Linked DNA regions of Astyanax mexicanus. The protein of the gene in region 1 purifies or fractionates together with the protein of each later gene. This does not show direct contact. Links are inferred from orthologs where the notes say so. Each region holds a gene or a part of one and is shown in the gene's direction. Other genes may lie near its edges.

The links.
Region 2: the proteins of sf3b1 (region 1) and cwc15 purify together in Homo sapiens (co-immunoprecipitation; 3 studies listed by BioGRID and IntAct, with this or other methods). This does not show direct contact. The link is inferred for Astyanax mexicanus from reciprocal best matches to the Homo sapiens genes SF3B1 and CWC15.
Region 3: the proteins of sf3b1 (region 1) and sart1 purify together in Homo sapiens (co-immunoprecipitation; 4 studies listed by BioGRID and IntAct, with this or other methods). This does not show direct contact. The link is inferred for Astyanax mexicanus from reciprocal best matches to the Homo sapiens genes SF3B1 and SART1.

Annotation. Positions count from the first base shown.
Region 1 is NC_064418.1:3,449,614-3,457,064, forward strand, and holds the start of sf3b1 (splicing factor 3B subunit 1), read left to right. Parts: upstream 1-4,396; 5' UTR 4,397-4,473; coding exon 4,474-4,501; intron 4,502-6,598; coding exon 6,599-6,771; intron 6,772-6,915; coding exon 6,916-7,017; intron 7,018-7,128; coding exon 7,129-7,243; intron 7,244-7,392; exon of another isoform or gene 7,393-7,451. UniProt on the Homo sapiens protein: Component of the 17S U2 SnRNP complex of the spliceosome, a large ribonucleoprotein complex that removes introns from transcribed pre-mRNAs.
Region 2 is NC_064408.1:38,129,039-38,136,673, reverse strand, and holds the start of cwc15 (protein CWC15 homolog), read left to right. Parts: upstream 1-4,622; 5' UTR 4,623-4,720; intron 4,721-4,811; exon of another isoform or gene 4,812-4,830; intron 4,831-6,213; 5' UTR 6,214-6,223; coding exon 6,224-6,354; intron 6,355-6,790; coding exon 6,791-6,897; intron 6,898-7,057; coding exon 7,058-7,155; intron 7,156-7,635. UniProt on the Homo sapiens protein: Involved in pre-mRNA splicing as component of the spliceosome. Component of the PRP19-CDC5L complex that forms an integral part of the spliceosome and is required for activating pre-mRNA splicing.
Region 3 is NC_064424.1:16,325,402-16,332,893, forward strand, and holds the start of sart1 (U4/U6.U5 tri-snRNP-associated protein 1), read left to right. Parts: upstream 1-4,479; 5' UTR 4,480-4,957; coding exon 4,958-5,228; intron 5,229-6,218; coding exon 6,219-6,273; intron 6,274-6,369; coding exon 6,370-6,425; intron 6,426-6,510; coding exon 6,511-6,637; intron 6,638-6,760; coding exon 6,761-6,866; intron 6,867-7,046; coding exon 7,047-7,124; intron 7,125-7,228; coding exon 7,229-7,328; intron 7,329-7,408; coding exon 7,409-7,492. UniProt on the Homo sapiens protein: Plays a role in mRNA splicing as a component of the U4/U6-U5 tri-snRNP, one of the building blocks of the spliceosome. May also bind to DNA.

The DNA of each region.
Region 1 (7,451 bases):
ACTGGCAATTAAATATATATATGTAATATATTTAAGGCTGCAAAGTATACATCTACGTTGCTTTCACAAATCTGCAAGATAAAAGCACCTTAGCAGGCAGCATTTTTATACAACATTCAATTAATAAACGACTAGGGGCCTGATTAGCCAACATTTAATCCATCTCAGACAGCAGAAGCAATGGCCCCAGTTGAAATCTGATTGAAATCTGATTTTGTCACTTATTAAAGTGACAAAAAAAGCAAAAACAAAATAAGCAAAAACAAAATAAGCAGAAGCAAACAAGACAAGCAGTAAATACAGAAAAAAACACAAAATACACATAAAAGAAGCAAAGACGTATAAATTATATGATTAATATGTTTTTTGTTTTGAAGTTGCCAACTACACTTTTTAGGGTTCAAGCACCGAAGGTGCGTAGAACCCTATTGTTATTGCTAAGATTTTTAGGGTTCAAGCACCGAAGGTGCGTAGAACCCTATTGTTTTTGCTAAGATTTTTCTTATTATTATTATTATTATTATTATTATTATTATTATTCTTTTTCTCCTGTAAAAACAGTTGTGCAGCCTAAACCGTAAGTCATAGAGAAATGAAACTTGGTAGGTAGATGTAGGATCAGTGCATCTCGGTGGACAACAAAAATGGCACCGATTGGTCAAGTGGTGGCGCTATAAACAAGGAAATTCATTTTTCACAATTTTCTCAATAACTCAAAAACCATAAGACCTACATTCAAAATTCTTTTTTTGCTGGATTCCTTGGGTCAATACCAACAACTTTCCAATTTGGACCATGCACTTCCGTCTATATAGATTTTGTGCTAATTTGCATAATATGCAAAACCTACTTTTGCAAACTAGTCCTAGGATTTTTGACCAATCCTGGCATGTTTGGTATCAAAACACTCGTGAGAGCATGCGCTTCAATATTCATTAAGAAAAAGTTGAAATATGTAAACAATATGGCCGCCATATGCAAATTAGTCCTTCCGGATATATGCCCCATTCACTTCAAGAGGTAAATTTGGAGCACTGTTTCTCAGCAACCGTGCAACCTAGCAAGTTGAAACTTTGCATGCAGAATCTAACATACAGCCTCTAAAGGATGTTCAAAGGGCAACTTAATCAATCAACATGGCTGAACACCATCAGCCAATCAGCATTCAGCAGACATTTTGGCAGGCTGAACGTTGCCCAATCTGGATGATATTTGGCAGTTATGTTCAGGTGGAGACACTGTAGTGACCTGCAAAGTGCTGAAACAATCCGCCCACTGGGGGGCGCTGTTCCAAAAAAACGAGTATATGTCAATCATGCTGTACTATTTTGACATCTAATTGTTTTTGCCATATTTAGTACAGTGGGTCTGACAAATTTCTCAATACAACTATGTTTAAAAAGTGCTTTGTTCATTCATAATTGCTAATTGTTTGAAAATAGCTATATTGAAACTACTCTCTGGATATTTGGCCTATCACCTCCATTTCAGTCTTGCTGCACACTGTAGAGTCTCTAGGTAAATGTTCATTAAAAACATTTGTGAAAATTTCACATACAATACTCTCCAGGCATCAAGCAATCTGTGCGTCCTTGGAATTTCTAACCTAAATTGCTGTAACTCTGCAGTATTTGCTGTAATCTCACAATGTTAAAGACCTCTGTACAATATCACTTTGATGAAGCACCATTTAATACAGAACTAGATTAAGAATAACTTGACATTACATGTCATATCAGAACATTCACTCCTTTGTGCCTCTTCTCAACATTAATAACAGGTGAAAGACTTTTGATCATTTTAAATGTGACAGAATGTCTCCAATTGTGTTAGACCTTCTTACACATCACCATCCTATGCTCTAGTAGGCACCATTGTGCTAGTTGGTGCTTGATGAAGCGCCATTTAATTCAGAACTAGATTTATAATAACTTCGTAATTACATGTCATATCAGAACATTCACTCCTTTGTGTTAATTTAAACTTGTTTGGTCAAACATTTCAGCTTGTTCTGCAAAGGTTCAAAGGTCAATCTGAATACCACTTTGTGAACATTCTGGTTGAAGCCACCTGATCAATACCAATAACATGTAGACACCTTTTGACTAGTTCTAACTCACTTAATGAATATCCTACAAAGTTCACTAGATTTACATGTGAATTTAAGCACTGATCAGGTTGAAAGGCCTCTGCTCAACATTAATAACAGGTGAAAAACTTGATAATTTCTAAATGTGACAGGGCATCTCCAATCATATTAGACCTTCTTACACATCACCATTCAATGCTCCAGTAGGCACCATTGTGCAAGTTGGTGCTTGAACCCGATGATTGCCGCTTGCGGCTATATTTCTTCTTATTATTATTATTCTTTTTCTCCTGTAAAAACAGTTGTGCAGCCTAAACCGTAAGTCATAGAGAAATGAAACTTGGTAGGTAGATGTAGGATCAGTGCATCTCGGTGGACAACAAAAATGGCACCGATTGGTCAAGTGGTGGCGCTATAAACAAGGAAATTCATTTTTCACAATTTTCTCAATAACTCAAAAACCATAAGACCTACATTCAAAATTCTTTGTTTGATGGATTCCTTGGGTCAATACCTACAACTTTCCAATTTGGACCATGCACTTCCGTCTATATAGATTTTTTGCTAATTTGCATAATATGCAAAACATACTTTTGCGAACTAGTCCTAGGAATTTTGATCAATCCTGGCATGTTTGGTATCAAAACACTCGTGAGAGCATGGCCTTCAATATTCATTAAGAAAAAGTTGAAATTTGTAAACAATATGGCCACCATATGCAAATTAGTCCTTCCGGATATATGCCCCATTCACTTCAATTGTTAAATTTGGAACACTGTTTCTCAGCAACCGTGCAACCTAGCAAGCTGAAACTTTGCATGCAGAATCTGTCATACAGCCTCTAAAGGATGTTCAAAGGGCAACTTAATCAATCAACATGGCTGAACACCATCAGCCAATCAGCATTCAGCAGACATTTTGGCAGGCTGAATGTTGCCCAATCTGGATGACACTTGGCAGTTATGTTCAGGTGGAGACGCTGTAGTGACCTGCAAATTGCTGAAACAATCCGACCACTGGGGGGCGCTGTTCCAACAAATCGAATACATGTCAATCATACTATACTATTTTGACATCTAAATGTTTGTGCCATATTTAGTACAGTGGCTCTGACAAATTTGTCAATACAACTATGTTTAAAAAGTGCTTTGTTTATTCAGAACTGCTAATTGTTTGAAAATAGCAATATTGATACTAGTCTCTGGATATTTGGCCTATCACCGCCATTTCAGACTTGTTGCACACTGTAGAGTCTCTAGGTTAAGATTCAATAAAAACATTTGTGAAAATTTCACATACAATAGTGTCCAGGCATCAAGCAGTCTGAGCGTCCTTGAAATTTTCAACCTAAATTGCTGTAACTCTGCAGTATTTGCTGTAATCTCACAATGTCAAAGACCTCTGTACAATATCACTCTGATGAAGCGCCATTTAATACAGAACTAGATTTAGAATATATTTGTAATTACATGTCATATCAGAACATGCACTCCTTTGTGCCTCTTCTCAACATTAATAACAGGTGAAAGACTTGATAATTTCTCAATGTGACAGAGTGTCTCCAATTGTGTTACACCTTCTTACACATCACCATCCTATGCTCTAGTAGGCACCATTGTGCCAGTTGCTGTTTGATGAAGCGCCATTTAATTCAGAACTAGATTTAGAATAACTTTGTAATTACATGTCATGTCAGACAATGAACTCATTTGTGTTAATGTAAACTTGTTTGGTAAAACATTTCAGCTTGTTTTGCAAAGGTCAAAAGGTCAATCTGAACACCACTTTGTAAACATTCTGGTTGAAACCACCTGATCAATACCAATAACATGTAGACACATTTTGACTAGATCTAACTCACTTGATGAATATCCTACAAACTTCACTAGATTGACATTACAATTACAATTTACAATTTAAGCACTGATCACGTTGAAAGGCTTCTGCTCAACATTAATAACAGGTGAAAATTTTTTAATAATCTCTAAATGTGACAGGGCATCTCCAATCATATTAGCCCTTTTTACACATCACCATTCAGTTCTCTAGTATGCACCATTGTGCCAGTTGGTGCTTGAACCCGATGATTGCCGCTTGCGGCTATATTTTATACTTATTTCCCCCACTGTATATAACTACCAGGAGGTATATGTATATACGTTTTTTAATGTATTTAATGTCTCAATTTTGTTTAAGGTGTATACAAAAAGTACCTCTGTACATTAACTGCCCAAATAAGTTAAATTAATTTAAAATAAAAGCTTCTGTAAGTGATTCTGCCTCTGAGCGTGTTTATGTCTACGCCCATTGTGGGTACTGCGCATGCGCCGCTGAGCATAGTCTGAGTAGTGAGGCCTTCCGGGCGCTTTCACACAGACGCAACGATGGCGAAGATCGCCAAAACACATGAAGGTAAGCGCGTATATTACATATATTCAGTACAGGCGGTGTGAACAGGCTACATATACGTTTTCTTAACGGTTTGCTGGCTGGTTCTCGTGGCATGACTGGAGAAATTAGCTGCTGCTGCTGCTGCGAAGTGAACCATCGTAGTGCGAACGAGGCGCAGAAGAGAACATGGCGACTGAGCGCTTTATTAACTAAAGCCGCCAATGAACCGCAGATACAGGCGGTTTAAATCATTGTAGACTCGCTCTGTATCTTTTTATACATGCGGAAAAATGTGTAAAAGAATACCTTAGCATTATTTGAGGGAAATTATAGTCGGACAGCCTGTGGTGATTAAAAACAGAACCCTCACGCAGGATCCAGCGCTGCTGTGCGCGGCCTGTTAGTGGCCCTGCTCAAAATGGCGCTCTGTGAGCTAACCCAGCTAAAGCTAACTGCTCCCATTACACAAAATACAGCGTGATTCCCTTCGTTTTAGCGGTTTAATACTGATTTAGTGTAAGCTTTATATTTTGTGTGGCTCAAAATAGCGTTAGCAGAAGGCTCACTTAATTAGTAACAAGAAAATTAGCGAGTTAGATAGTTTAGTACGTAGCCCGTTGGTGCAGATTAGTTAGCTAAGCTAACTACTTTTGACTAGCTAAGATGCTAACAAAACATGGGCAGCATGTCTGAAGTCATTCAGCGGTTTGACTACATTATTAGTGGTTTCTTTGGGTTATATATATATTTTCTTTTTATATTATGGCTATATTGGTTGGTATCAAACATGTTAGTAACGTTACCTAAATAGCTAACGTCGAATAATTTGTAGCTTAATGGCATTGCAATAAGAACACGATTTCCTAAGTATTAACGTAATCCTCTCAGACCCTGCATCCGTTAAGCTACAATAAACACCATGTAACTTAATTTTCTTTATTTTTCAAAATGTTTTGTTGCACATAACACTATTCAAGAGCTCTTGTCCTTCAGAATAGTTCATGAACCAGCTATTGAATACGTTTATAAACACATGAAACCTTTGGCCCCGCCTACTGCACTGGAAAAACAAGTTCTAGAGCCATTGAGGCTATATAACAGCTAATTCTTACAATTTTAACGTGATCTAGAACACTGTTTCGCGATGGTTTATACAATAAAAATGTCCATATAAAATATAAAAGTCTTCAACCGGCAGAGTCTGCTAATACTGCTTCATTTTGTCTGCTTGTCACAAAAACGTGTGTGCGGAAAATAATATTTTTATTATATTAACCAGGTGGGTGATTGACATACGCCACAGGTTTTGAGTTTTACATTGCTAAAAATGTTTTTTATTGGTTTATTAGTTATATTAGTATTATATCGTATTGACCAAAATTAACATATATTCATTTCATACATAAAATAGGTTGGTATAAATTTTGACTGTATTCTGTACCCCTAGTAAATAACAGGCTGGTTGTTAGAGGTGTCACTTGATTAAAAGAAATATTGAATAAATCACTACAGTCTTTTGTGATTTAATCATGGTTGATCATGTGGTGAAGTGACAAAAAAAGCAAAAACAAAATAAGCAGAAGCAAACAAGACAAGCAGCAAATACAGAAAAAAAACACAAAATACACATAAAAGAAGCAAAGACGTATAAATTATATGATTAATATGTTTTTTGTTTTGAAGTTTGAAGTTGGTTATTAGAGGTGTCACTTGATTAAAAGAAATATTGAATAAATCACTACAGTCTTTTGTGATTTAATCATGGTTGATCATGTAGTGTTCTTAAGATTAAGCTTTTAATAGTGTATATGTAAATGTAAATAAGAGAATGAATACAATATTAGCAAAACTAAGTTACATTTATTTTAGTTGTCAATTGCTTAAAAAGATTGTGTTGCTGTAATATTCTGTGATCAGACATAATTAATAAAGTTCAAATCATGGACTGTTTTGAAAACTATCTGATTAGTTTTAATGCTTTAATGCTGTGTATGTGCACTCTTGGTGTCCAGATTAATTGCATGCCCTACTGTGTATACCTGTGTACATTTCTGGTGTGTGGGTCTGAACAGATGTCATGTTTTCAACATACGGTATTTCCCTGTTTTCTATTTTCAGACATTGAGGCGCAGATCCTGGAAATCCAGGGGATGAAGGCAGCTCTGCTGGAGGAAGGAGAGCAGGGTGTCGGCCTTGATTCCACTGGATATTACGACCAGGAGATTTACGGAGGCAGCGACAGCCGCTTTGCCGGATATGTCACCTCTATTGCAGCAAACGAGCAGGAGGAAGTAAGTTGTACAAATAGTTAATTTGATATGCTTATAAGATGAGTCATGGAGAAGCAACACATACATTTTCTAAATCATATGTGCTTAAAATATGACAAAACCTTTACAGACTGTATCTTACCAACATTTTTATTTTTTCTTAAGGATGATGAAGAGGACTCTTCCACGAGTTTACTTGGGCAGAAGAAGCCGGGGTACAATGCTCCAGTGGCAATACTCAATGCCATTCCTCAGTCAGATGAGCAGGTAATTTAATGCAACTCTTTGTTACACTTCCTATTTATAGATGTTTTAAAATATGCAACATTAGGTGAGTTTAATTATCTTTAACTTGTTTTTTCTCTCCTTTTTTTGCAGTATGATCCTTTTGCTGAGCACAGACCGCAGAAGATTTCGGACCGTGAAGATGAGTACAAGAAACGCAGACAAAAGATGATCATCTCTCCTGAGCGCCATGACCCCTTTGCAGACGGTAAATGTCACACAGCTGTTCCCTTTCATACTCCCATCCATGTCCATGCTGAGGAGTATGCAGTGTCTATACATAATCCTGCTCTATATCACTGTGTTGGTGGTTAACCCTTCAAGCACTTGACGACAACTTGCTTCCCAGATTTAGACTAAGCATTGATTATTGATTTTGCTGTGTAAGATTTATAGTAAAATATTTTTAGACTTTT
Region 2 (7,635 bases), on another chromosome or scaffold:
TTATCAGTCTGTAAAGCTTGGGTTGTGTTAATTCCAGCGCTGGAGCACCAGATCCCTGCAGAGTTCTGTATTTTATTTTTTTCAGGCGCAATCCAACCTTATTCAACTCTCTTACTGATTGCCAGGTTTAGCAGGTCTGTTGGAGGAGGAAAACCTGCGAAATTTTCTAAACTCCAGCCTCCATAGCCCACTCCAGCGTATTTATGGGATTGTCCTGCTCTTTTTTAGAAAAATGTAACAAATGATGTATTGCTCCGTTCAGGAGAACGGGTTCCCTAGTGGAAGCTTGCAGTTGTTCATTAGTCGGGAGATGTAAAGGTAGGAAGTAAGCATTTTTAGGCTAACTAATATTATTCCTGCGCATGTTTTAACCCAGTTGGACCTCGCTTGTGTAGTTTTGCACTTAAAACAGACCGAGATATATCTGTTGCCAGGCAGAGAAAACTTTTATCCAATTAAATGGCAGTTTAGCTTTGACCACAGCATTGGAAAAATTTAATTCTGCACACTAAAAAGTAAAGCATAGCAGAATCCCAGATAATGAGGCAGAGTAAACCCGTTTTCCCCACATCCTGTTGAGTTTTTTAGGGATGATTTATAAATGTGAAATACAAAGATTTATATAAAATAATATTTCAAATCTAAAAAGGTAACAGTTGATAAGCAGTTCATACCACATTTTCCAGTTCTGATTTATGAAAACATCCTCGAGCCAAGCTGTTATTTTCGTATGGCTATTAAATGGTAAAATAGTAAATGCTCCTGTATGTTTAAAAAGGGATGGATGGATGCGGTCGAATTATGAAAATCATACTTTATACTAAAACTGAGGGAGGGCAGACTCACTGTCCTAGTTCTGTTATAAAGAGAGCTGGTGCAGAACTGCGCCACCTGCTGGCTGCTCAACCATCATTTTTGTCTTTATCTAGGACTAATACACACATATCATCTACCAGAACAAAGGGTTCTCTGGAGACTGGATTGTCTCTAATTTACTGTCAGTTGTTGTCAGATTTATTTCCTCCCTGTAAAACAGATCAGTGTCAGTGAGTTAAAGCTAAACCCCCTTTAAACTCGCTCAGCTCCAGCACTTAATGAGATTTATTTTATTGAGCTGTTTGTTAAATATAGATTCCCTTACAGCAGAACACAGCAGAAGCAGTGGGAACAGTCCATCCATTCCAACCCCCACCCATCAACTAATAATGTAGTAACAACTGTAGTTACAACGATTATAAGAATTAAATACACACCAGAATAAACTAAACAAAAGTATAAGCATAGTAAATATTATACAGGAATAGAACATTAATATAGAATGTTTATATGCATTGAAGGATGTGATGGGAGATAATCACACCTTCACACTATTTCCAGTGGTTTCATACCTTTATATATAAATACAGTAAGGGAAATAATTATCCCTTTCTGATTTTGTATATTTGCCCGCTGACAAAGACATGAAGAGTGTATAATTTAGGGGAAGGTTAATTTTAACAATGAGAGATAGAATGTCAAAATAAAATCCAGAAAATCACACTATATTAGCCATGTATTCCATTAAGAATTTTGGCACCTACAGACCAGTTAGACGCTCCTAATTAACTCGTTACCTGCATTAAAGACAGCTGTCCTTAATTGTCACCTGTATAAAGGACTTCTGTCTACAGACTCAATTAATCATTCAGACTGTAACCTCTACAACATGGGCAAGACCAAAGAGTTTCTAAGTATGTCAGGGACAAGATGCATGAGGCTGGAATGGGCTACAAAATCATAAGTAGTATGCTGGGTGAGAGGGAGATAACTGCTGGTGCAAAAATTAGTACAAAAATTGAAGAAATATGGAACATTAAGGACACAGGGCTGAGCAACATTATGATAAAAAACTTGTTGCCCTGACAGACTAGAGATGGACAACAAACTGTTAACCGCACACTGATGACGTAATGATATTAATAAATTACATACAATTGCATTGGTCATATTGACTTACATGTCTTGTACATAAATGTATAACTGTTTGGATGAAGTTTGTGTTGGGTTAGGGGAGGAGACACCCAAAACACTTGAGCAAAAATTCTGAACAGAATCTGCTTATTGGAGTGACCCAGTCAGAGCATACCTGTCAAGTTTTAGATTTAAAAATAAGGGATATTTTCCTCTGTACGCTTAAAGCCGTCCCACCAGCCCAACGAAGGTTCAGTATCCCTTACATTTTAAGACAGGTTTACAAAAAATCTAAAATAACCACAAGTGAACCACTTACACACTACAATTAGATTATCAGAATCTGAAATGTTGTGGACATTCCTACATATGTCATTCTTTTAATACAGCCAAATTAAAAACCCTTTTCTATATATTTTTTAAGAAATTAAGATTTCATGTCTTTTTTGTAATAAATGCACTCTTTTATATGATATATTTTTTATATATTTAATGGATTTAAAATTGAACAAAGGGTGCACAAATTCTGCAAAATTACTGTTGGTGACCTAAAAATAGTATCATGAGCTTTTACTAAAAGGACATGGACCAGATATGTTTCATCAGTAAAAATTAGTCCTAAGGGGCCTACACAATAAATTTTAATTAATACTTCTTCCTTTTGATCACTCCACCCCTGATTAGTTCAGTTAATTTCGGTTCTCTCCACATTTCTAGTTAAACTGAGTCACAAGCTGTATTTTTTTATTTTAAAAGGTTTAATCTGTGTGTTTTATTTTGGAGACGAGTATTTCTAAGCAGCTATCAGAAAAATATCATCACAGTTTACATGATTAGCCTACCGTTACCTTTCTTTTAGAAAAATCGCTGAATATCCAGATATGTTTTAACATCAGCAGCTCCGACTAGCTGCCTGAACTCACAGCGACGGAGGGGGCTTCCCCACACTGACCCTCCTTTGCAAGCTGATTGGCTGTTTCTCCTGAAAGGCGGGCTTTCTCCTTGAATCGGCTCCACGATTGGTTAAGAGACACAGAGCGGTCAGTGCCCTGTCTCCTCAATAATATATATATTTTTATTTTAATAGAATACGGGAAATTTACGGGAAAATACTAATACGGGAGGACGGCGGGAAAGAGGAGTAAAATACGGTAGTTTCCCGGCCAAAACGGGAGACTTGACAGGTATGAGTCAGAGCCCCAGATTTCAGATGCTACGGATTGACTTGGAGAGAGACACTTGACACATCCAAGGAATATAACAGAGCTAAAGCACTTCTGCCAAGAAGAATGGGCTAAAATTCCTTCTGAATTATGTGATTTGGAGGGGGGTGGGGATCAACCAGTGATTACTAGGGTTCACTTACTGTCCAATGCCACTTTGAGCGTTGATATATATAATATATATCAATATATTTGACATTTTTAGATGGATGGATGGATGGATTGATGAATGGATAGTTAGTTTATTGATCCCAGAGGGAAATTCTGTACATCCAGTAGCCGTTATACACAGTACACCGAAGTTCCAAAAGAAGAAAACAATAAAATGATACATATAAAAATGTGTAAATATGTAACCAGTGGACAATAAATAAACTAGTAGTGCAGAATAGGGTAAAACAGTAAAAATAATGTAATAGTGCATCTCAGAGGGTGTGTCTGCAGAGATGGTTGTGTGTCCATAGAGTGACCAGAGTTGCCGGAATGAAAAAGTGTCACAGAGTCTTTAGTTTGCTGTGGTGAGAGGAGTTGAACAGTCTTATGGCCTGAGAGACAAAAGTCTGTTTGTGGAGCAGGACTGGGACAGCATGGGACAGCGTGCCTGGTGATGATGCTGTACAGAGGATGGTGAACATTGTCCATGATGTTCAGCAGCTTGGTTTTGACATTTTTTTGCTGAAAACCATGGAATTCCAAAAGGTTCACATACTTTTTTATATTATAATAATTTTTAATAGTAATTATTAAATATGATTATAATATATTATAATGATTATAAAGATGATTATAATATAAATCATAATCATTAATAGTTACATTAATGATATTGAGAAAAATAATTTAAAAAATTCCCACAGCTCTATTTATTTTAAATTAGTTTGAGAGTAGTTTGCAAGTGTGAGAAACTCACTGTAGAGTTTCTTAGAAGGAAAACTGTCAGTAATATCTAATCTGATGTGAATGTGTATGTAACACATGTGGGCTTTCAGTGTCTCCATAATTGTGTGATTTATAAAACTTGATTTAATGTTTTGTTCTGTTTGTTTTATTTCAGTTTTATTTTCTGAGTGAACATATAATCCCTGTTAGTATACTAACAGTGGCAGCTGGCTAACAACCCTGATTTTATTCTATAATTATTGCCTTAAACAACAACCTAATAACTGGTATTTTAACATCATAATCAGGTGAGAACTAGTCATATAGAATTTAAAATCACTGAATTTTTATATGGAATTTAAATCACTTAATTGTGCAAACTATTATGTCCTTTAGTGATGGATGTTCACTATGTGTCATTTAGGGACTTAATGAGTTAAAAAGTGAGGGAGAGAGAGCTGTGAGAAACTTTACACAGATTTTAAAGGTTCTGTAACACATATTTACATCACCATGGGCTCTCCTGGGTTAAGTGAGCATGCTAAACCTGGCCTTTAGCTGTGGGATTTCACTGGACTCTTTTGTTTCCTGGAGCGTTTGTCCATAGCAGGCTGCCGTAGCAAAGCCGCGAGGGCTGCCGGGATATCGTAGGTCTGCGTGAGGCGACGGTGAGACATTTTTACATTTATTTATTTGTTTAAAATGAACAGATTAGAAATATGAAACGCGGGCTGCGACTCAGCTCAGTCTACAGGTTTCTGTGGTGAGCGGTAGGAGGGTAAATTTCAGAGCTTTGCTTTAAAAAGACGCGGTTTTGTTGACTGTTTGTGTTTCGACTGGAGGCTGGGTGGATTAAAGTGTGAAAAGCGAGTTTACGTGAACCAGTTCAGGTTCCATTAGGGCGGTAAAACATGTTCTGGAAGACTCGCTTATTTTAAGAGGAGGGCCGTGGCTTGTTTTTGTTGCCTAGCTAGGGTTAGATATGTAGCTTAGTCAGATTTTTGTTTGTGTGTGTGTGACTCCTGTGTTATGTTCATCTGTAACAAAAAAAAAACCGTCCTGAAGCAAGTCAACAGTTCACAGTGTACGTGTGAGCTAACTTTTACACATGGTGGCGGTAGTTTCACACACCATTGCTGTATCTAAGACTCCCGAAGTAAACAACAGGAGATCCCTCCTACATACATTCATAACAGATCATCATTTGGACACAGCGTGATGTTATGTCCAAATTAGACAGCAATCTTAAAGTCATTAGATTTTAGTAGGGGAAAAAGGTGTCATACTATTGCTTCACAATATTGGAAAAAAATGTTGCAGTATATATTGCAAAATAAACAATATATATTATTTTTTGCCAATTTTTGTCCAGAGTAAGTGGTCCAATATATCCATATATTAATAATGCCATCTGTGTAACAGAACAGTGGGTATTTCCTATTTTGCAAAAAGTAACCTTACTTGAATGGTTTAATTAGTCTTACATGACATTGCATCTCCCACATTGTGAGTACTGTGTGATAATGCTGAAATTATATATTATTATATATTAGGGCATGTTTTTATAGTTCTTTTAGGTGATGTAAAGGGGCTTCTATAAATAAAGCGTACATGATGATTTTTTTTTTTAACACAGATATTTTTGATTATGCTGACATTTGTAGGGATGCACTAATGTGGTGAATTCTGGACTGATGCTGATATCCGATATTACACAATTACATATTCCAGTGCTTATATACACATTCATAACTTACAGAGAGACTAGACACCCAACTGGGACTTTATAGATTTAAAACTAATAAAAATAAATAAAAATGAGCTTAAATCAATTCATTTTAGAGTAATGCAACTAGCGTTGCTCTGACCTTTTCCGGCATGCAATAAATACTTCAGGAAATATCAGTTTGAAATACTGGCCATACCAAGTGATGTGCAATTATGTCGAATTATATTGGTATCAGCCAGTAATTGTTGTTTTTTTATTTTTATTTTTTTAAATAAAAAAAGCTAGACCATCAACCTAGTACAGTAGCCCTGCCTACAGGTGCTCTATTTCCATCTCAGTTGTTATTAAACATTCAGAGCTGAAAAGCAGGTACTGTCCTTGTAGTGTCTGTATTGTTGTTGATTTGATCTGTGTATTTATGTTCTCCTGCAGGTGACCCAGGATGACCACAGCAGCGCGGCCAACGTTTGAGCCCGCCAGAGGGGGGCGGGGAAAAGGAGAGGGTGATTTGAGTGCGCTCTCTAAACAGTACTCTAGCAGAGACCTGCCTGGACATACCAAAATCAAATACAGGTGAGCTCCTTTGTTCTGAACATACAGCCCTCATTTTTAAAGGGTTTTTAAATTCAGAATGATCTATGTGCTGATAAGCATTTTAGCTTAAAAATAATCTTCGTCCGCAATAACCCACCTAAAAATACATATCACGTGACCGGTTATGTGCATCATTCACTATAATAGTAACCCCATTCTGTCAGTGTAAAAACCAATAGTCATAGTGCCATCATACATTCCACACCTAAGGTAGTAATTGTACTTTTTACTTATTTATTTCTCTTACATTTAAATTTAAGTTACAGGTGAATGTTTCATTTATATTATATGGCCAAACAAAGTGAACACATGTAAACAGTGATTTGTCTGGGTCTAGGTGCTGTATTAGACACTGATTGTGTTTAATGGATTGCGATTTAAGTATGTGTGTGTGTGTGTGTGTTGTGTCTTTTAGGCAGCCCACACAGGATGCTCCTGAGGAGATCCGCAACCGTGACTTCAGGCGTGAGCTGGAGGAGAGAGAAAGAGTCGCAGTGAAGGGCAGAGAGAGAGGAGCCAGGGGTAAGGGAGAATGTGTGTTTTTGTGTGTGTGTGTGTGTGTAACAGATGTTTAAAAATGCAGTCTGATAATCCGGCATTCTATGTAAACTATTGTAATATAAGTAAAATATACACACACTCTGTATCTGACTGTAACAGGAGTTTTTGTTTTGCCTTGTAGAGCATACCACATCCTCTTCCTCATCTTCATCCTCCAAACGACCAAGACTTGATCAGATTCCCGCAGCTAATCTTGATGCAGATGACCCGCTTACAGATGTATGTATTCTGTGTGTGAAGTATATGCATGGAGAGTACGGGATGCATAGCATTTTTAAAACAAAGTTAAAACAAAACTAGTTCCAGACATTAGACACTTTTTATTACAGTAGTATTGTGGAAGGAAGCTAAGAAAACTTTTAAACTGGAGATTAACATTTCTGTTAGCATACCTTTATGGGAATTGGTTTGTTTTACCTGGTTGATTTAAAGGCACAGAATGTGATTTTTATATACTTTTTTGTAAAATTAATTGAATGTTTCCTTATGGTTTACTAGTTTACTGTTGTTGGTGTTTCACGTTAAAATGTTAAAATACACACAGTGAGAGACGTGAGGCTAAGGAACAGCCAAAAAGTAACATTTCTGACAAAGAAAAACCAACAAAAAGATTTTAGATCAGGCAAGACAAATGCAAATTCTGCTGAGGCCCATGGAAGGTGGAGAGCCCTAAGAATATTGAAAGGCATGGCAATAAGG
Region 3 (7,492 bases), on another chromosome or scaffold:
ATAAGCATTCAGATCTGATCCAATTCACACACACTTATTTATAAAGGGTTAATGTAGTAGCAGGTTTTCATTCTACACAACAATTAGCTCACCTAAATCCACTTGTTTTAATTAAGTCTTCAGTCATTCAAAAACTGATTACACATGCTTCTGCTTTACTGAAATGAAACCCTGCATCCATATGGACCTTTTGCAGAAAAGATTGGCCACTCCTGTTTTTCTTCTGAATGTGTAGACCATGCAGCTTGTAATTAGCTAATCACTGAAAGCAATGCATTGCATGAAGATACCTAAAACCTTTGGTCTGTTATCTAGTAATCACTTTTGTTTAATTGTTTTCTGTTGCTTATATTTATTGAGAAATTTAGTTTTAAAAAGTTCTGGAATAATGCCATGTACTAAATAAATAAAATAAATGTTTTTGTAAATGCTCTGTGTCTTGTATAAATTGTTTCTTTTGTTTATGCAAACTAGCACGTTTTTAATAGTAAGATCAACATTTGCTTAGTTGGGGAACATGACATGAAATTAATTTAGTCAGACCATCACATCAGCACAATTGCAATTTGCTTTCCTTGGCGAGTCACCGACCGATGCAACAATCCCAGGAACTTTAACTATTAATGCTAAATGTTGGTACAGGACAATAATGTCTCCCACATATTTTTCAAAGAGTCATCATGGTTATTTACTGTTATTATTATTATTGTAATATGGAGTGATCTGGAAAAAAGAGTTTAGTCTGCTGTTTTGATTGTTTTGCTGTTGTCGTCTATAAAGCAGAACTGGTTGTTTGACCACTGATTGGCCACTGATTGGCCAAGACTTTATCTGTAGAAACTGTCTATTTTTTTTGTATCCCTATGCTGGTTCAAAAGACCTGGACCAAACCATTTGATGGGGACAGGAACACTCATAACAATTTTTCATACACTTGTATATATTTAAATTTAAAATGTAGACAGAACAAAGAAAAAAATAAAACAGAATACACTGAAATTGCAAATTTAAGTATATAATGTTAAATTACTTTGTGCCTCCCTCTAACCTGGACCAACCCATTTGGTCCACAATGGGCATGCTCCAATTTATCCAGGGACTATAAAGTCAGCTGATAACTTGAAAACTCATTTGTTTCTGTAGCTGAAATGCTGGCGCTGGAGTACATATGTATGGAGTAGGTAAATGAAGTGAAAATATTAATTTGACAAACCAACCTTGGGTGGAGAAGAGTAGACTTGCATTTAAGTTAGCCTGTAACTGTGAGAGAGGTTAGCATCTAGCTTTAGCTTAGCAGCTAAAGCACATTCAAATAAATAATACAAACACTGGTTAAACAATTCCTTGTTAAAGCTGAATTATAGTTAAGCTTTTTCTCATGAGTTTAAATACATTCTACAAAGTGTCTTCTTTAAAATGACTTATATTTTTAAAGTACATAAACCTGCTGTTTGATATATTTTACAACTAACTGAACATATTTTGCAGCTAAGACCTTTCAGTGGATGTCTGTTCTTTGGAAAGTGTTTTCAAGGTTTCTTTGTGTTGGGAATCATTTTCAGTTTCAATTGTAACTCACTATCCAGAGGCTGGGTTGGTTTCTTGGGTTGATTTGTGATCCTTAATCCTAACAGCATGACTTTAAACAGTGTATTTTTTTTATCTTTCTTTAAAATTAATTAAATTAAGTTTATGCCTTAAAACAGTAAAATGAATCTTTAGGAAAGTTTTTCTGCCTAATTTTTCCCATGCACTCAGTCAGCTCCACAAGACCCAGAATTATTTCCATTATTGTTTGCTCATGTAGTTTGCTCTCCGGAAGCACCACTGTCGGAATTACTGAGATCCTACCACAACCTACAAAACCTTTAGCCAAACCACACCTTGGCGATTTCATTCACCCAATGAAGATGCCTGCAGCTGTTTGCCTCTAATCTAGTAATCACTTTGGTTTTATGTTAAATGATTGAATGTATTAAAGACAATAAAAACTAAGTTTGATGTGTCTTGTATAACTTTTTCTTATGCTTACTGTTCACTGTTTAAGTTCACTGTTGGGAAAACTGTTTAAGAATTGATTGAACCCTTCTATATATTAAAAAAGAGGTATGTATATACAGGAAATAAGAACCACTGGTCAATGTACTGTTGAATAAGCTGCAAAATGTAAATAAAATGGTGTATAACAGTTATCTTTGGAAGAATAATTTAAGTTGCTATGTGTAGTTAGTGAAAACACACTGAGCAATATAAAGCTCAAACACAAGGCTGTTTGTCCTCCTGCTCTGTAGAGAAAAGTGCAGATTTTGCCACTGCAGTATCAGTCTATTCTACAAGTTAGGGAAGGCAATTTACTGCACTAATTTTTTTTAGTTTTGAGGCCAACTCAAAGAAAAGACACAGTTGTGCCAACTAAAAATCATTAGTTCAGATAATTGATTTTTATATGCATAAAGCTTTAGAAATTAAGTCTCACCAACTTATAAATTCACTTTGTATCCTTTCCTTTAAGATCCTGTTTCACATAAATCAAACTCATATAAAGAGCACAACATAAGTTAGCAACTAAGAATGTATGACTGTTATGTCTTATTATCAGTCATATTAAAATTGCAAAACACAGTGGCTTGCTCTTATAGACTTTAACGCTAAGGCCAGGCAGTTAACTATTATGTAACACATGCGAATCCCAAGAGAAGGCAGCCTGTGAAGAATGACTACTCACCGATAGTGAGTGAGAGGTAAAAGAACACACCCAATATGCAAATAGCTTGACCAGCATCAGATTAAAAACCCCTGCATAATAAATAGTTTAAACCGAGGCTTCTGCTAAGCATCTTTCATTAAATGAGTTGTCTACCACTTTGTTTGATTAAAATGCTGACACTAATTCTGGTTGTCACATTGTGTCCTACATCATATTATCCCATAAGGGCGTTTTAATACCCAGTAGATACATTTCATATTGTTCCCCCAAAAAATAGGCCAGTACATCACAGGTACTAAATGTGAATCTACAAACATTGATCAAGGTTTAAACTCAGATCATTCCCTGTGGTGATTTACCAATGACCCTGGAATTTTTGTATGGGACGTTGGCTCATTATGACTCGAGTAAAAGTGCCTTTCAAAAAAAAACTCTCTAGGAGCATGGACTCTTTATGTACAATATTTTTTCCATTGCTAATGCATTCGTCTCCAACATCAGAATTGATTTATTTGTGCACATCAATTTTACATTGATTTAACGTTAATTCAAAATTATGGTTTTAGATGTATGTTTTTATTAAACTTAAATTAAAGATGTACATTAGACTCAAGAAGTGTATATGTGTTACATACAGAGTGATCCTTTTTAAGTGTTGATTTCTTTTATTGTTAATTTGAAATCGGTGTCTCAGAAAACTAGAATAGTATATTAGACCAATTAGTACTTTTGGCAGTGTGGCAGTGTGCCACTCTGCTGGAAAATGAAATCTGCATCAGGAAAGAATGAAGTGCTATAAGATTTTCTGGGGAAAAAACTGCACTGATTTTTGGACTATATAATACAGTGGACCAACACAAGCAGATGACATGGCTGTCAAAAAAGCAACTTTTCAATTTCAACTTTTCATTTTTAAGATGCACTAGTATTTATAGTTTTTGGATTCTGTTATTGTAGACTGTACTGTGGTCTTTCAGTGTATAAAGTGACATAATACTAATAATTAGTAATATTAAAATTATGATTTGTGGGAATTTGTTAAATGTTAAATAAGGGTTGTTTAAAGATTGTTTTTCTATCATTACTTTAACAGAAGTAATGCAACCAAAATCTTTTTAAAAAATTAACGTTTGGAACCCCAAATCCAGAAGCTCACAATGCTTTTAGATTTATACACCAACCACTGCCTAAGAAAGTCTAGAAGGATCACGAAGGACCCCTCCCACCCATTCTCACAGCTTCTTCCCCCAGGCGACCAGGCTGTGGAACAGTGTTTTGCCCAACTTGCCACTGCCATCTTATACAAACTTTTTGACCCTGAACTTTACTTCACTTTACATCACATTGCATCTTTCTAACTTTCCCATACTTATCCTATTATACAGCATTCTCCACCCTGTACTTCCCAATCAACTCATTCTGTACCTGCACTTTAGTCATAATTACTCTGTCACATACTATCTCTGCACTTTCACATACACACTCAGATATCAGCACATGTATATATCAGTGTATACTTGTATATCCATTCATATTAACGTATATCTACACTGCAAATAAATACTTAGTAAATATTTCAAGTAAATCTTGTTCTTTACATGCTAATAGGAACCTGCACACAAGTTTTTTTTACTCACCTGTATTCTGTGACGTGACAATAAATACTGTATTTTGAATCTTGAATCTTGAATCAGGGATCCTTCAGGGCACAGAGCTGGAATATAGAGCCTCCTCGCCTGCAGGCGGCAGTGAGCGTTAGGTTTGACTCGGAAGAAGTTTGGGACGGTTTATCAGAACGCCTGCAGAACGATTGGATGGTGGCTGGTGTTTATTTGGGCCTCGCTGGTTTAGTGAGCGCTCCTTTTCGCGTGTTTACAGGACTTTAGGTGTTTAAAGAGTGTGATAAATATGTTGTACAGGCGGTAGAGTATAGCTAGCCGCTCTGTTTATGTTCTATTTAGCGTTAATATACACAAACCGTGCTGGGAGGGAGTGTATCTATGTTAGCTAGGTTAGCTTGCTAGCTAGCGTTAGCTATGTTGTTAGCAGGCTAGCTAGCTAAGCGTGTTATTTTTGGTGTCGTTTTAATACTTTCTAACCCAAGTCTAACTAGTACCTGTTAGTTATTTGCGTTGTTTGCTTTAGTGTCGGGTCTTTAAACAGGTTTGTTTACGCATAGGTTAGCTAATTAACACAGTTAGATAACCTAGCTAATTAGGTTATCTAGCTAACTAACTAATACTCTCAGATATGGGCTCATCTAAGAAACACAAGGAGAAGGATAAGGAGCGGGACGCAGAGGACCGACACCGAGAACACAAGAAACACAGACATAAGGACAGAGAACGGGACAAGGAGAGAGATGGAACTCGAGAAAAGGAGGAGAAGAAAAGGAAAAGGTCCCGCTCCAGAGAGAGAAGCAGCCGGGGAGAGAAGGAGAGCCGCAGTAAAGGAGAGAAGAGCAGTGGAGAGACTCGTGTAAAGAAGGAGAAACTTGATCCAGCTTTTGAAGAGGCTGAAGGTGAGCTGGTGACCTGTTTACTGCCACTGACTGTTGGTTAGTGTTAGAAGAATTTAGATTTCTGTCCAATATTGGCCAAAATCCAAAAATCAACAACTTATCAAACAGTAATCAAGAAATTGGCATTACCATTGATTGATTTAAAGTTTCACACACTTTTTAGGACAGGTCAGCACTGCCAGAAGGCTCATCCAGTACATGTTTTTTATGTAGGGGTTGTTCTTGGTAATGTGACATTTAATTAAAAAATACTCAATATACTAGTTCATAAAAATAAATATTTAGTCTTATTAGTCCTAATTGAGATTTTCACCAGATTTGAACAGAAATCAATGATCCAACATGATACTATTAATACTAGTAATGCACCCCATATATCCAGGACTGGAGTAAAAAAAAATGCTGGACAGATACATATAATCTGTCTCTATTAAATATTTAATAGGAAATGAGAACAGTGGGAATTTTCCTTTTGCTACAAACAGCAAAACAATTGCCCCTGATGGCCCTAAAATAAAATCCCAATATTTCTAGTTTTTTTTGTGATTAAAATGTTTTAAAAAGACAGTTGAGCGCAGAGAAGGCAATGGCATTTCTGGACATGGTTAACATAGGATTTTATTTTCTACACTAACGTTTTAGGTGCCATTGTAAATGCAATTCTGCAATGTAGTGTGGTTAAAGTGATTCCTTACCCCTGTGGTTCTGGGCTTTCACTTCTGTCTGTTAGGCCAGGTAATTCTTGATGATTAAAAGACTAACTTTTCATGGATCCTTTGTTGGAAATGAATCGTTACAGTGACTTGTGAGCATCACCAGTTTATATGTTTGTAGTCCAGCATTACTGTTTTGTAAGTTAGTAAGTGTTTTAAACAAAGTTTCATTAAAATGTGATTTTGTTAATACATTAAAATATGTGTAGTGATGCACCCATTTTTTATAGTGCCTGTACCTGATTTAAACTTTTTTTTTTTGTCTGTTCCTTTGCAGATATGGCTCCAAAGTCTGCGGGTGGAGATGCTTCACTCAGCATTGAAGAGACCAAGTATGCTAATAAAGTGCTTTGCAGACTGTCTATCAAGGTTTTGCATCAGAATTGATTTTGGAACTTATCCAACCAATTCTTGTTTTCCCTTTTCAGTAAATTGAGGGCCAAACTTGGTCTGAAGCCTCTTGAGCTAAATGAGAATAAAAAAGGTGAGAAATCGGTGTCTAACAGGACTTATGCTACCAAATATTCTTTCTCTTCTTTTTTTCTCATGTTAAATATTTCTGATTGCAGAACTGGGCACAAAAGAAGAGCCCCTGCTAGCTGAGACTATCAACCCTGTACAGATCAAACAGCAGGCAGAGATTAGGGAGAAACTGGCTGCACTCAAACAGAAGCGTCTGCTTAATCAGAAACTTGGGTACAATCCTCATTATGCTTTTTCATTTATACACCATAGGACTGTACTTCTATAGAGTTTTTGTCTCTTGAAGCCTTGTGTATCATTACTCAAATTGACCTTAATCATTGTCTCCCATTTTAGCAAGGTTAAGACACTTGGAGAGGATGAACCTTGGTTGGATGATACTGCTGCCTGGGTGGAAAGAAGTCGCAAACAGGCTAAGGAAAAGGAGTTGGCAGAAAAGAGAGTAAGTAGTAGACAGGGTTCTACAGCTTCTGCAGAATCGTTTCATTCGTGTCTTCTTTGTTGAGGCAAACGCACAGCAAAAAATGTACTGGTGATATACACGTTGTGGTTTTTATTGTAATATTATGTCTTTGTTTAATATATTTTTGTTTTTATTGTAATGAGCATATGATTTTCATAGGCCAAACTTCTTGAAGAAATGGATGAAGAGTTTGGTGTGAGTAACCTTGTGGAACAGGAGTTCGCTCAGACTAAGAAGGTAGACTTCATACACTTTCCGCAGTGGTTAATCATATATCAAACAGAAACTTTAAATGTTATATAATACATTTTCTGATTACTAAAAGTCTTTTTTTTTTGTAGGACGCTTACAGTTCTAGAGACCTTAAAGGTCTCTCAGTACAGCACAAAATGGAATCCTTTAAAGAGGGGGAGACTGTAATTTTGACACTGCAAGACAAAGGTTTGTGCTCTGTTGGCTTTTCAGCAATGCATCTGCTTTACCTGCACCTGTGGCTTGCTCACTGTATGTTCTTGTTGCAGGTGTTTTGGATGAAAATGAAGATGTGCTGGTGAATGTGGGTCTGGTGGACAAAGAGAAAGCTGAGAAGAATGTGGAGCTTAAGA